Oryctolagus cuniculus: one gene and its partner. The protein of the gene in region 1 interacts with the protein of each later gene in a pairwise test. Links are inferred from orthologs where the notes say so. Each region holds a gene or a part of one and is shown in the gene's direction. Other genes may lie near its edges.

Region 1 (5,874 bases):
ATATATATGTATATATATATATATATGCTTGACATATATTATATATAATTACATATACTACATGGGATATATAAATCTAACAGCTGTGGCCATACCCCCAGGCTTACCATAGCCCTGAGACTACAGAATGGTGACAGGCTAGAAAGAAGTAGCACCCCTAGAGGATGAAGAGGATGAAAGCCTGCCCCAGAACCACCACTGCCCTGCGGAATGTGCTGTGGGTGCAGGCGGGGCCCGTGGCCACACCACACCACAGCCTTGCCCTCATTTTCCATAGTGAGTCAGTCATCAAGTGGCCCCTGACCGCGCCACCGCATTGCACTGGGATCAGCATTTCACGCAGGGGGAAGGTCCAGCCTCTCCTCTCCCCAAAGGGAGGTGACTTGCCATTCAAAGGGTTGCAGGCAAACTTACAATGGTGACATTTGCTGAGCAGTGGCTTGAATAAAGGGCCCTCAGAAAGGCAAGACCTTAACGTGGAACATAGGCTAGTCCCAGGAATGCCCCTCAGCCTCCAGTGAATAAGGGAACAAAGGACAGCCACAGCAGGAGAGCTGGCCTTAGAGGGTCCTGTGGCAGGTCCTTGGCAGTGCCATTCACCAGGACTCACTGAGATGAGGTAAACTAAACATTGCTCAAAGAGGTTTGTACAAAAAAGGCTATGCTACACCCTTCAATTGCCACCACATGCTTTTTCTTAAATGCCAGGTGATTTCCAGTACCCGGTCCCCACCCAAAGAGGGTGCAGGAATCTGTTTCCTGTACAATCAATTTACAGAGGTTCTGCAGTTCACCGGTTCGGTACTCCCTAAGTATTCCAGATACTCCGACACCTGTGGTTCTTCAATTGCTGCTTCATCAAAAGAACACTGGCTTGCCTGTCCCTCCATCTCGTGTGTGTGTGTGTGTGTGTGTGTGTGAGAGAGAGAGAGAGAGAGAGACGACTCAATTCCACGTAACTAACAGTGAAACAATAGCCTCTGAGTTCAGCGGTTTCCCCAGAGAGGTTAAAGCGGCTACATCGGAACATTCCCTCCGTGTCCTGATCTCCAAGTTTTTTTTTGTCCTCTAGACAAAAGGCTTCCCCAGCTCCAAGTCCAATCCCACGAATTCCTCTGGAAAACAGGACCTGAGACATTTCCCGAACAATGCACTGGAACCCTGCACTATGCATCGCTAAAATTAACACATACATTCGGTCATTTGAGTTGTATAATTGCCTTTCACTTGAACTCACGAGTCAAAGTGGAGTTTTTAAGCAGCGCCTAATTAATTCTTTCATTGGCTCCCACGTCACCTATAACGACTTCCACCCGCAGAAAAACTGGTGAGCACTGAATTCGGTTGTGCAACTACGGACTCGAGTTTCCTCTTTCACCCAGAACTTCGAGATCCTGTTCAGAGTCGGGTGTGGCCTCACAGTAGGGGCGGGGGGAGGAAGGGGGCGGACGAAAGGAGCCCGGGCGGGCGAGGGCGGCAGGGAACCGTGCAAAGCCAGGTCTTCAACCAGCGCCTTCAAGAGCGCCCAGACCCATGCCTGGTGACGCTCCAAGGGCTGCAGAAGTTTCTCACGAGCGAGAAGTTCGCAGCCTGGGAGCAAAGCCAGACTTCGGCGAGTTCTGAAAAACTTAGGGGCGCTCTTGTGCCCCCAGCCCGGGCCGCACACATCAAAGCGGAGGCCCAGCTCCAAATCAGTGGAGATTGGAGCGATAAGTGCGCGCGGGGCCCGCGGAAACTTGAGTCAAGCTCGTCTAACGGTTTCCCCTGAACCGCTAGGTGCCCTACCCCTCGGCGGGGTGCTGTGAGTCACCGCCCGTGACTCAGCGACCCCACCCTTCTCCCCTGGGCTTCCCTCGGCCGCCGCCTCGCAGCTCGGCCGTCCCAAGCTGGACTGAGCCCCTGAGTCCCTGGACGAGACCGGGCCGGAGCCCCCTAAAGAGGACACACTGAGAAGCGTCGCGCGCAGAGGAGCCCGCCCTTGCAAACAGGCGGTGCCCGAGGCTGCGCGAAGCCCCGCGCTGCGTCTCTGGCTGTGTGCGCCCCCACCCCGCGCTCCAATCTCGGGCGCTCTTTGTCTCTTTCTCCTCCGCGCCTGGCGATCTGCTGGATCCCTTACTCCCCCTGTTCATGCCCCTTGCCCGCAGGTCTCCCCATCCAGAGGCTCCCAAACCGCAGCAATCCAGGCGCCACGCACCGCTCCCGCCCGCGCGCCTCCTCCCACGCCCCCTGGGCCGGGTGCCCGGGACCCTTTTGGTCCAGATCCAAGCGGATCCCCACACCCACCACGGCGCAACCCCGCCTTCATTAACATCCTGGGATGAAAAAGAGTTCCGGCCATCCTGAGGAAAGCCCCAGAAAGTCTCAGCGTAGCCCAGCCCAGCCCACGAAGTAACGGGACGTGGCCCAGGCCAGAGCCTCAGACTGGGAAGGCTCCAGGGCGCCCCCGCCCCAAGCCCCGGCCCACCCTTCCCACTTCTCGCCGGGTCCCCATTGGCTGGCGCTCACGGCGGCTAGGATGGCAGTGGGAGGGGACCCTCTTTCCTAACCGGGTTATAAAAACAGCGCCCTCGACGGGGTCCCGTCCTCTGCCACTCTCGCTCCGAGGTCCCCGCGCCAGAGACGCAGCAGCGCTTCCACCGCCCACACCCACCGCGCCCTCGCTCTCTTCTCGGAGCCCGTCCGCGCCGCCGCAGCCGCCCAGCCCACCACCGCCCTTTGCAGCCATGTCCACTAGGTCCGTGTCCTCGTCCTCCTACCGCAGGATGTTCGGCGGCCCGGGCACCGCCAGCCGGCCGAGCTCCAGCCGGAGCTACGTGACCACGTCCACCCGCACCTACAGCCTGGGCAGCGCGCTGCGCCCCACCAACAGCCGCAGCCTCTTCTCCTCGGGGTCGGGGACCGCGTACGTCACGCGCTCCTCGGCGGGGCGCCTGCGGAGCAGTGTGCCCGGCGTGCGGCTGCTGCAGGACTCGGTGGATTTCTCCCTGGCCGACGCCATCAACACCGAGTTCAGGAACACCCGCACCAACGAGAAGGTGGAGCTGCAGGAGCTGAATGACCGCTTCGCCAACTACATCGACAAGGTGCGCTTCCTGGAACAGCAGAACAAGATCCTTCTGGCCGAGCTCGAGCAACTCAAGGGCCAGGGCAAGTCCCGCCTGGGGGACCTCTACGAGGAGGAGATGCGGGAGCTGCGCCGGCAGGTGGACCAGCTCACCAACGACAAGGCCCGCGTCGAGGTGGAGCGCGACAACCTGGCCGAAGACATCATGCGGCTCCGGGAGAAGTAAGGCTTGCGGGGCCCCGGGAGGGAGCTGGGACCGGGCCCCCCCGAGAGGGCTGCCACGCCCTTGGGGCGTTGGCCGGGGCGGCTGCAGCCTAGGGGACTGCAGGGGCGCGGCAATGTGGCTGCGGCGGCGCAGCCCCGCCCTGAACCCGAGCCGTGCGGTTAGCATTTCCCTTACCCATAACCCAAGTAGGTCCGTTTCAAGTTAAGAGATTTCTTAAAACGACCGCTTTGTGCGTGCTCGAAGGCCCTTGGGCACGACCGAAGCGACGGGCCCAAACTTTCAGAAAGTTTCCCGGCCCCTGCTGGCACGCTGCCAGTCCCCAGGCGGGAGGAGGAGGGGGAGGCTGCGGAGGAAGCAAGACAAAGGGATGGCCGAGGGTCCCCAGGGGCGGGGCGGCGGCTGCCACTGGCATCGCCTTTCCACGCCGGGCCGCCCCAGGTCCCGCGAAAACCCGCCGGGGAGAGTGGTGCCGAAGGCTGCGGTCGCTCGTCTGCTGCCCGCTGGGGTGGCGCCGTGGCTCGTGGCTCGCGGCTCGCGGCTCGGGACTCGCGACTCGCGGTCGGGCGACGTGGTGGCTGGGTGTGGCCGCCCCGCCCCCGGCGGTTTCCCGGTTCCTCTTTGGCTGACGAGCAATTGTTTTCAGGTTGCAGGAGGAGATGCTGCAGAGAGAGGAAGCCGAGAGCACCCTGCAGTCTTTCAGACAGGTTTGTGGACTCCCTCCCCCCCCCCCCCCAAGGCGGCCTCAGGGCCACACCCAGCCACCCCGCCGGCCCGCTCTCAAAGTTTCTAACTTTTCAGTCTATAAGCGCAAAACTTCACATCTGTGCGCAAAGCCCCCTAGCGGCGGCAAGACCACGGCTTAGAGCCTCTCAGTAAAAAAAACCCTTGAATGATTTCCTTAGTTGCTTAGGACATAAAGTCTTTTATACTTTTTTGTTTTGTTTTGTTTCAACAGTTATTTTCCCCCCAAGACATATTTTTTCATATCATTTTTGCAACACATTAACATTCGGATTGCGAACAGTTACAGTTTGGCTTAGATTCTGGTTTGCTAAAGCCAAGCTGGTTGACTTTTTACAAGGCCACAAAAAGCGCAGTTAGGCCCTGTGGCTTCCAATGTAAAATGTGTTGGAGGATGAGACGCTGGCATGCAGCCAGTAGGCTGCTTCCCTGCTCTGCAAGTCTATTGTGGCGTTCAAGTTAGGTGGAAGTTATCACTAGGCACAGCCATCTGCGCGCTCAGCTGAAGGGTGTTAGTGGTTCCCATGGGCTTCACCAGGAATGTAGATACAGACGTGCTGGCAAATGTGGTGGCCCTAGACAGACATAATAGGAGTCTTTGTGTTCCCAGAACAGCTTTGCTGCAGGCTACATTCTCATTGAGAATGTAGTGATGTAAGCACAGTTCTCATTGGACAGAAGTATTTGCCAACATCAGCTACCTACTCTCTGGCCCAGACTTGGGAAGGCTGCGATGTGAAACCTTGCACACGCTACAGTCATTCTTTGTGTTTTGAAAGACCTGTATGGGGGTCTTTGACACTATCTCCATCAACAAAAATAACTGCAGAGTGTTTTTTTTTTTTTTTTTTTTTGGCTCTAAAGTTAGATGGACTTAAAGGAATTTTAACTTACAATTGGAATCCTAAAACAGGAAGATCCCCATCATGGCTTGGTTCTCTGGAACATTCACTGGGGTTGGCTACCAAACACACTCAGGTGAACAGTCTAGGATAACATTTTGAAGATTTGCCTCATTAATCGAAACACAGCAATGTGTGGTTGCTGCCTCTGATCACTGTTCCTGATTTTTACCCCCATAACATGATATAATAGATCCCCCGTTGAGGAAAAAAATAAGGGAAAAAATCCTCATTCTCTTCAATGATATAAGAAGTAAAATATCTATATTTTCCTGTGCTTAACAAGAAGCAAAAACACTAATTTTTTCCAAGTTGGGTCTTTTTATTATCACTCACTCCTTATTCACTTTTGCATGATGGTTTTAGAAGTGTCTCAACATTTTAAGACTAGAAAACTGTAAACTGGACCCCAAATGTAGTTGCTTATAAGAGAAGGGGTATAAGGACCTAACTTAGCACATTCCCTTGAGTGGAAATGAAATCCTAACTGCAAGATCACACATTTTTAATTGGAATGTAGAAGGAGAGCAAGAGCTGCAAAGATTCTTACATGCAAGCATTTGACCATTCTGAAACAGGTTAAGGAACTGAATCAACACCGGGCAAGTACAAAGACGGACACGCCCTTAAAGGACAAGTCAGGGAGTTTCAGAATAGTCCACCAGAGAAAGCAAAGCGAATATAGTTCAAATTTCTATTCCTTAATTGCCTAAACTGCACCTTTGTGAAGGCACACCCTGAATTCAGCATTGGGTGGCTACTTGGTATAAATCTAGCCTTGCAATTAACCATGTAGTTGCTTTGAAGAAAGAAAAAGAACTTACAGATATGCCAAAACTTTTTAAAAATTAATTAATTTGAGAGACAGGGAGGGAGAGGGAGAGAATTCCCATCCCTTAGTTCACTCCCCAAATCCCCTGAATGGCCAGGGCTGGCCCTGG
Region 2 (5,534 bases), on another chromosome or scaffold:
GTCCATCTTCTGCTGCTTTCCCAGGCCATGGCAGAGAGCTAGATCAGAAGTGGAGCAGCCAGGACTTGGACCAGCGCCTATATGGAATGCCGGCACTGCAGGTGGTGACTTCACCTGCTATGCCATAGAGCCAGCCCCTAGCATCTGTATTATAGCATGTATCAGAACTTTGTTCTTTGTAGTGGCTGAATAGTATTCCACTGTGTGACTAGCCACATTTTATCTACACTTCAGCAGCTGATGGACCTTGGGGCTATTTCCATTTTGTGCCTGTTGAAAATAATGGTGCTGAGAACATTCGTGTATAGGATTTTGTTTGAACACCTGTGTGTGTTCTCTTGGATACATGCCCAGGGGTGGAATTGCTGGATCATAGGCTAACTCTGTGTTCAGAATTTTTTTTTTTTAAGTTTTATTTATTTACTTTGAAAATCAGAGTTATAGAGAGATCTGTCTTCCATCTGCTGATTCCCTTCCCAGATGGCCGCAAATGCCAGGGCTGGACCAGGCTGAAGTCAGAGTCAGGAGTTTCATCTGCATTTCCCACATGGGTGCAGGGGCCCAAACATTTGAGCCGCCTTCTGCTGCTTTTCCCAGGCCATTAGCAGGGAGCTGGATGAGAAGTGTACAGCTATATGGGATGCTGGCATTGCGGGCAGTGTCTTACCTCTCGCTGTACCACAAGGCCAGCCCCCAGAATTTTTTCTAGCCCAGCATGGGAGATGCTGCTGCTTCCCCACCCACTAGACTGGCACTGGCAGGCACTGATTCCACACAGAACGGGGGCAGCGTGTTTTGTCCCCTCTGGGTTGTGTGGCCTTGGGCGGGTCATTTTCCCTGCAAATCTTTTAATTTTTTTTTTTAATTTATTTATTTGAAAGGCAAAGTTAGAGAGAGATCTGCCATCTACTGGTTCACTCCACAAATGGCCACAGTGGCCAGAGCTGGGCTGATCTGAAGCCAGGAGCTTCTTCTGAGTCTCCCACATGGGTACAGGGGCTCAAGGACTTGGACCATCCTCCCCTGCTTTCTTAGGCCATGAGCAGGGAACTGGATTTGAAATGCAGCAGCCGGCACTCGATCCTGCGCCTATGTGGGATGCCAGTGCTGCAGGCAGTGGCTTTACCTGCTATGCCACAGTGCCAGCCCCTTCCCTTGAAATCTTAGCTCTCTCATTTCTAAGGGGGAGTCTTAGTGCTTCTTGCCTTGCATGTTCATCACACAAGGTCATGAACTTGACAGTGACAGTGACCTGAAGATAGCCCGTGAGCTGCAGTCACAGCAGGGGTGCTCTTGCACCCCTAGAATCACTGGGAAATGAGGGCAGCGCCTCTGCCTGAGTGGGCCCCCAAACCTGAGGCCGGCGAGTGCTGGCTGCAGGCCCGTTCTGAGCGTTGTTTTGAGCCATTCTTATTTTAGAACAGGCCGCTGACGTGGAATCTTCCCAGAGTCAAGGGGAGGCAAACAAAGGGGCCTCTGGGCCCTGCTCGCCAGCTCTTGTGTAAATTGCGAGGAAAACATGTTTTGCTCCCCTCTGCGTGGGCTTGGCGCCTCTCATGTCTGCCCTCCTGGGGCAGGCAGCTGGGCGCCCTCAAGGTGGGGAGTAATGTTTGGGGTTTGTGGCTGGGTCGTTCCTGGATTGCCAAACCAGGCTGCGGAGGAGGGGTCAGCCCCAAGGGAGTCAGGGGTGGGCGCTGCCCCGTCCCAGCCTCTGAGTCACCAGCATGAGCTCTGGCTTCTGTGCCTCCTAGGCACAGACCCAGTGGGCTGAGCTTCAGCAGGAAGCGGTCAGGCACACATGTGCAGTAGGCCCTGTGCTCACTGTCCCTGACACCCCCAGGCCACAGAGAGCAGCACAGACCAGGCCAGCCTCTCTGGCTGGGCTGGAACAGGCCCCAGTGTGTTGGTGCCTGCCGGCCAGGTGGTGAAGAGCCGGGCCCTGCCCATAGACCACCTGGTGCGGTGACCTGGGGCACAGGCTGCAGGGAGGCTGTATGGCGAGGCCCCACCTCTAGGGGGCGCCCTCAACAGATGTGTGTGGACTGCGTCAATATAGTGACCCCCAACATTGCTTTGCAGCCATACTTATTATTCCCATATCCCAGATGAAAACCAAGGCAGCAGCCAGGGACCTCTCCCTAGGGCCCTACTACCTTCGCCCCTCCCAAAGCTAACGGGACACCTGGTAGGGCTGCAGTCTACAGGGCAGCCTCCTAGGGGCCCAGGGGAGGCTGCGGTGGGGGGCGCCTGATGAAGCAGGCACCACGAGCCAGGATGCGTGCTTAGCACCTGAAGCTGCTCTGCCTTTCAGACCAGAGCCACCGGGGAGAGGGCACAGGGGCCCTTCAGTGTCCACGGTGGCGTCCACCTCCTTATCCTCCTGTTTCTCAGAAACCAAGGCCCAGAATGGTGACAGCTCAGCCGCACTTCCCCCTGGGTGTGCACTTGGCCAGGGAACGGTCTGTGAGGGACCAGGCAATGTGGTTTCTGGATCCAGCTTTCCTGGGGGTGTAGAGTGGCCCCCGTGGCACTGCTGGGCAAGTGTGTGGGATACCCAGGAGCAGGCATCTGGGGCCAGCACCTCCTCTCACCCCTCCTGTTCTCAGTCAGTGGATCTGGCCCTGGCCACCGAGTGGAGCAGCCGCACCTCCCTGCTCTGTGCTGCTGTGTCGGGACAGCCCTTCCACGCTCAGACAGGGAGGTGCTGAGGTGTGCAGAGTGGTCTCCAAAAGGAAGCCTGCAGGGCCGTACCAGTGCCCCTGTTGCTGCAGGCCACTCTGGCAGCTCCCTTGAGGGTCAGGGGATAGGTGCTACCCTGGCTGCCCCATCAGCTGTGCCAGAATCCCCTGGCCAGCACAGGGGAGGCTGAAGCCAGAAGAGCTAGGCCTTCCCTCCATGGCTGGCTGCCTGCTGGAGGGGTGCGGGGTGATGGTTTCTGGGGACTGTGGCTGCCAGCTGTGAACTAGCAGTTGTTCCTGTCACTGCCCCCCTCCCCCAGCGAGAACCCCCTGCCCACAGTGGAGATTGCCATCCGGAACACAGGCGACGCTGACCAGTGGTGCCCACTGCTGGAGACCTTGACTGACGCCGAGATGGAGAAGAAGATCCGCGACCAGGACAGGAACACGAGGTACCAGCCCCGGCCCTGCCCAGGGGCACCCATCTTCCCAGGCGGAGGCAGGGCTGTCTCCTTTCCCCGTGACCCACACTCTCAGGTCAGACCCAGGCCTCAGGGTCCCTGGAGACATGGGGCTCAGAGAGGGCTGGGGGTGTCCTGCTGGGCGTCCACCCTTGCCAGCTGGGATTGGTCCTGGCTTACCGTGCTCCCCTCCTGCCCCCCCCTCCCCCCGCAGGCGGATGAGGCGTCTGGCCAACACTGCCCCAGCCTGGTGACCCTCCTGTTGGCGCTCAGCTTTCACGAAGCAGCTCAGAAGATTGGACCCCTCCCCTTCCTCTTCTGATCAGGAGAGGGGCAGTGGACAGCCGGTGCCATCTGGAGGAATGGGGCAGGGGCCTGGACCCCCTGGGTCACCCTTCCCAGCCATACCTCGCATCTGCTGAGCCCCAGTCCTGTTTCCCCACTCATTAGCCCCCTACCCCAGTGTCTGGGGCCAGAAAGAAGCCTCGTTTTAGGTTGTGTTTTGTTTTTGTATGAGAGCCCCAGGCAGGGCTAGCAACACTTTTTAAATAAAAGGCAACAGGTCACGTGGTGTTCAGTGCTTCAGAAGGGCAGAGTGGGCAGGGCCGAGGCTGCCGGCCAGGCCATTCCACCTGAACAGCAGGGGTTAGGGGGCTCCCCTGGAAGCCACCTCAGCACCCCACGTGGCCCGAGGCAGAGCCCATCCTTGCTTCTCCTTGGGCCTTCTAACTTCCTCCCCACACCCCGCCCCCATGCCAGCCTTAGGAAGGAGCCTTGGGCTCTCCTAGCTCTGGGCCACCCTGTCTCTGCTCCATCAAGAGAAGCTGGCCAGGGGCACCTGAGTGGCACTGCCGGAACATCAGTGTACCCAGAACTGGCTGATGGGGCCTCTCCAACCCGGCAGGCACTGCGGCCTGGGCCGGCTCCTCTCCCCTGGGTCTGTAGTGAGGAGGACTGGCAGCTGCTGGCTCTTGGGCTTGATGTGCTGTCTGCAGAGACAGCTCTGGGTCTTCTCCTAGCTCTCCCCCAGTGGGGTCCCTCATCCTTGTGTCCTTGTGTGCAAGATGGAAGCATCTGGAGGCAGCGCATGGGTCTCTGCTATGTGCCACTGCCGGCTGCTGACAGGTCCTCCCTCGCCAGGGCAGGGCTGAAGATCAGAGGCGCTCTGGGGCCTGGCATCCAACCTGAGCCCCATCCAGGGCAGGAAAACTGAGTAGGGATGAGGCCAGCATGCAGGCAAGATGGGCCCGGCTCTCAGGGCTGGGGGCTCCTAGGAGCGGGTCCAAGCGCATTCTGGTCCCCAGAGTTTGTACTTGGGCCCCTGCCCTCCATCAGACAGGAACTCACCAGAGTCCCACATCGGGGCACACCCAGCTGGCCTCGGTCACACAGGGGCTCCACTGCTGGGGAGTTCATGAGTGGGAGGCAGCCCTGTGCCCCCACAGCCGTTGTGACAGAGGGAATCCTGCCTGCCTTCCTCTGCCAGCCCGGCAGGCAGGCCCACCCCTTCAGAGCACCGCCAGCCCACACACCGCAGGGCCAGCTGGTGCTCCACAAAGTTTCACTGCAAAACCAAGGTCAGAGTCTGTGCTGCAGGTCCCTGTTACCATGTAGATACCAGGCGTGCTGCTGAGGAGTAAGCCAGGACGTGGGCAGCCTCGAGCAACAGGGAAAGCTGGCCAGGGCGCGTGGCGCACACAACAGAAGGGTGAAGGGAGCTGCAGGCGGCGGCAGCGAGTCCTCAGCCAACGTGGCAGGGCCAGGGCTGCCTGCCTCCTGTCGTATGTGCAGGACTTCAGGTCAAGGCCCTGAGGCCGTAAACAGGAGGACCCAGACCTGGCCCTCCTCTGCACCTGACCCCATGGGGCTCTGTTACCTGCTGGAAATGTGCCAAGGACCCACTTGTCAGGGCTGCTGATGAGGGACGGGAACGGCTGGGCAGGCCCCAACCTGCAGGCTGAATGGGGCCTGCCTGCTGCTGGCCCCAGCCGCCCACTCACAGGCAGGGAGCAGAGGTCCAGGGTGGAAGGAACTTGACAGCGCTCCATCAAGGCACTGCTGGGCCAGGATGAGAACTCCCAGTCTGCTGGGCCCCCACGGGCATCCTACCCCTTCCAGTGAGGCTCAGAGGGCTGGAGGGCAGGGAGAGCCAGTGCCAGGCGCCGAGAGGCTGCAGGTCATTCTGTTTATTTGGGTAGGCCTGGCCTGCTGCAGCAGGGGCTCGGGGTAGGGTGGGGATGGAGGCCTGCCGGTGGGCTCACTGCTGCAGGGGTGGCACAGGGGGTCCTGGCTGTTCCTCAGGGAGGGGCAGGTAATTGGGGTCCTCACGGGTATCCAGCAGCAGCTTCCTGCAGGGAGGACCGGCACTGAGCTGAGGCCAGCACAGGTCCACAGT

What was found.
Region 2: the proteins of VIM (region 1) and SMARCB1 interact in binary tests that used the Homo sapiens proteins (3 or more experiments, as listed by UniProt). The link is inferred for Oryctolagus cuniculus from reciprocal best matches to the Homo sapiens genes VIM and SMARCB1.

What each region holds. Positions count from the first base shown.
Region 1 is NC_091444.1:43,368,404-43,374,277, forward strand, and holds part of VIM (vimentin), read left to right. Parts: 5' UTR 1-2,723; coding exon 2,724-3,286; intron 3,287-3,933; coding exon 3,934-3,994; intron 3,995-5,874. UniProt on the Homo sapiens protein: Vimentins are class-III intermediate filaments found in various non-epithelial cells, especially mesenchymal cells. Vimentin is attached to the nucleus, endoplasmic reticulum, and mitochondria, either laterally or terminally.
Region 2 is NC_091452.1:30,765,739-30,771,272, forward strand, and holds the end of SMARCB1 (SWI/SNF-related matrix-associated actin-dependent regulator of chromatin subfamily B member 1), read left to right. Parts: intron 1-2,998; coding exon 2,999-3,130; intron 3,131-3,353; coding exon 3,354-3,393; 3' UTR 3,394-3,705; downstream 3,706-5,534. Other genes in the region: DERL3 (derlin-3), read right to left, coding at 5,397-5,487.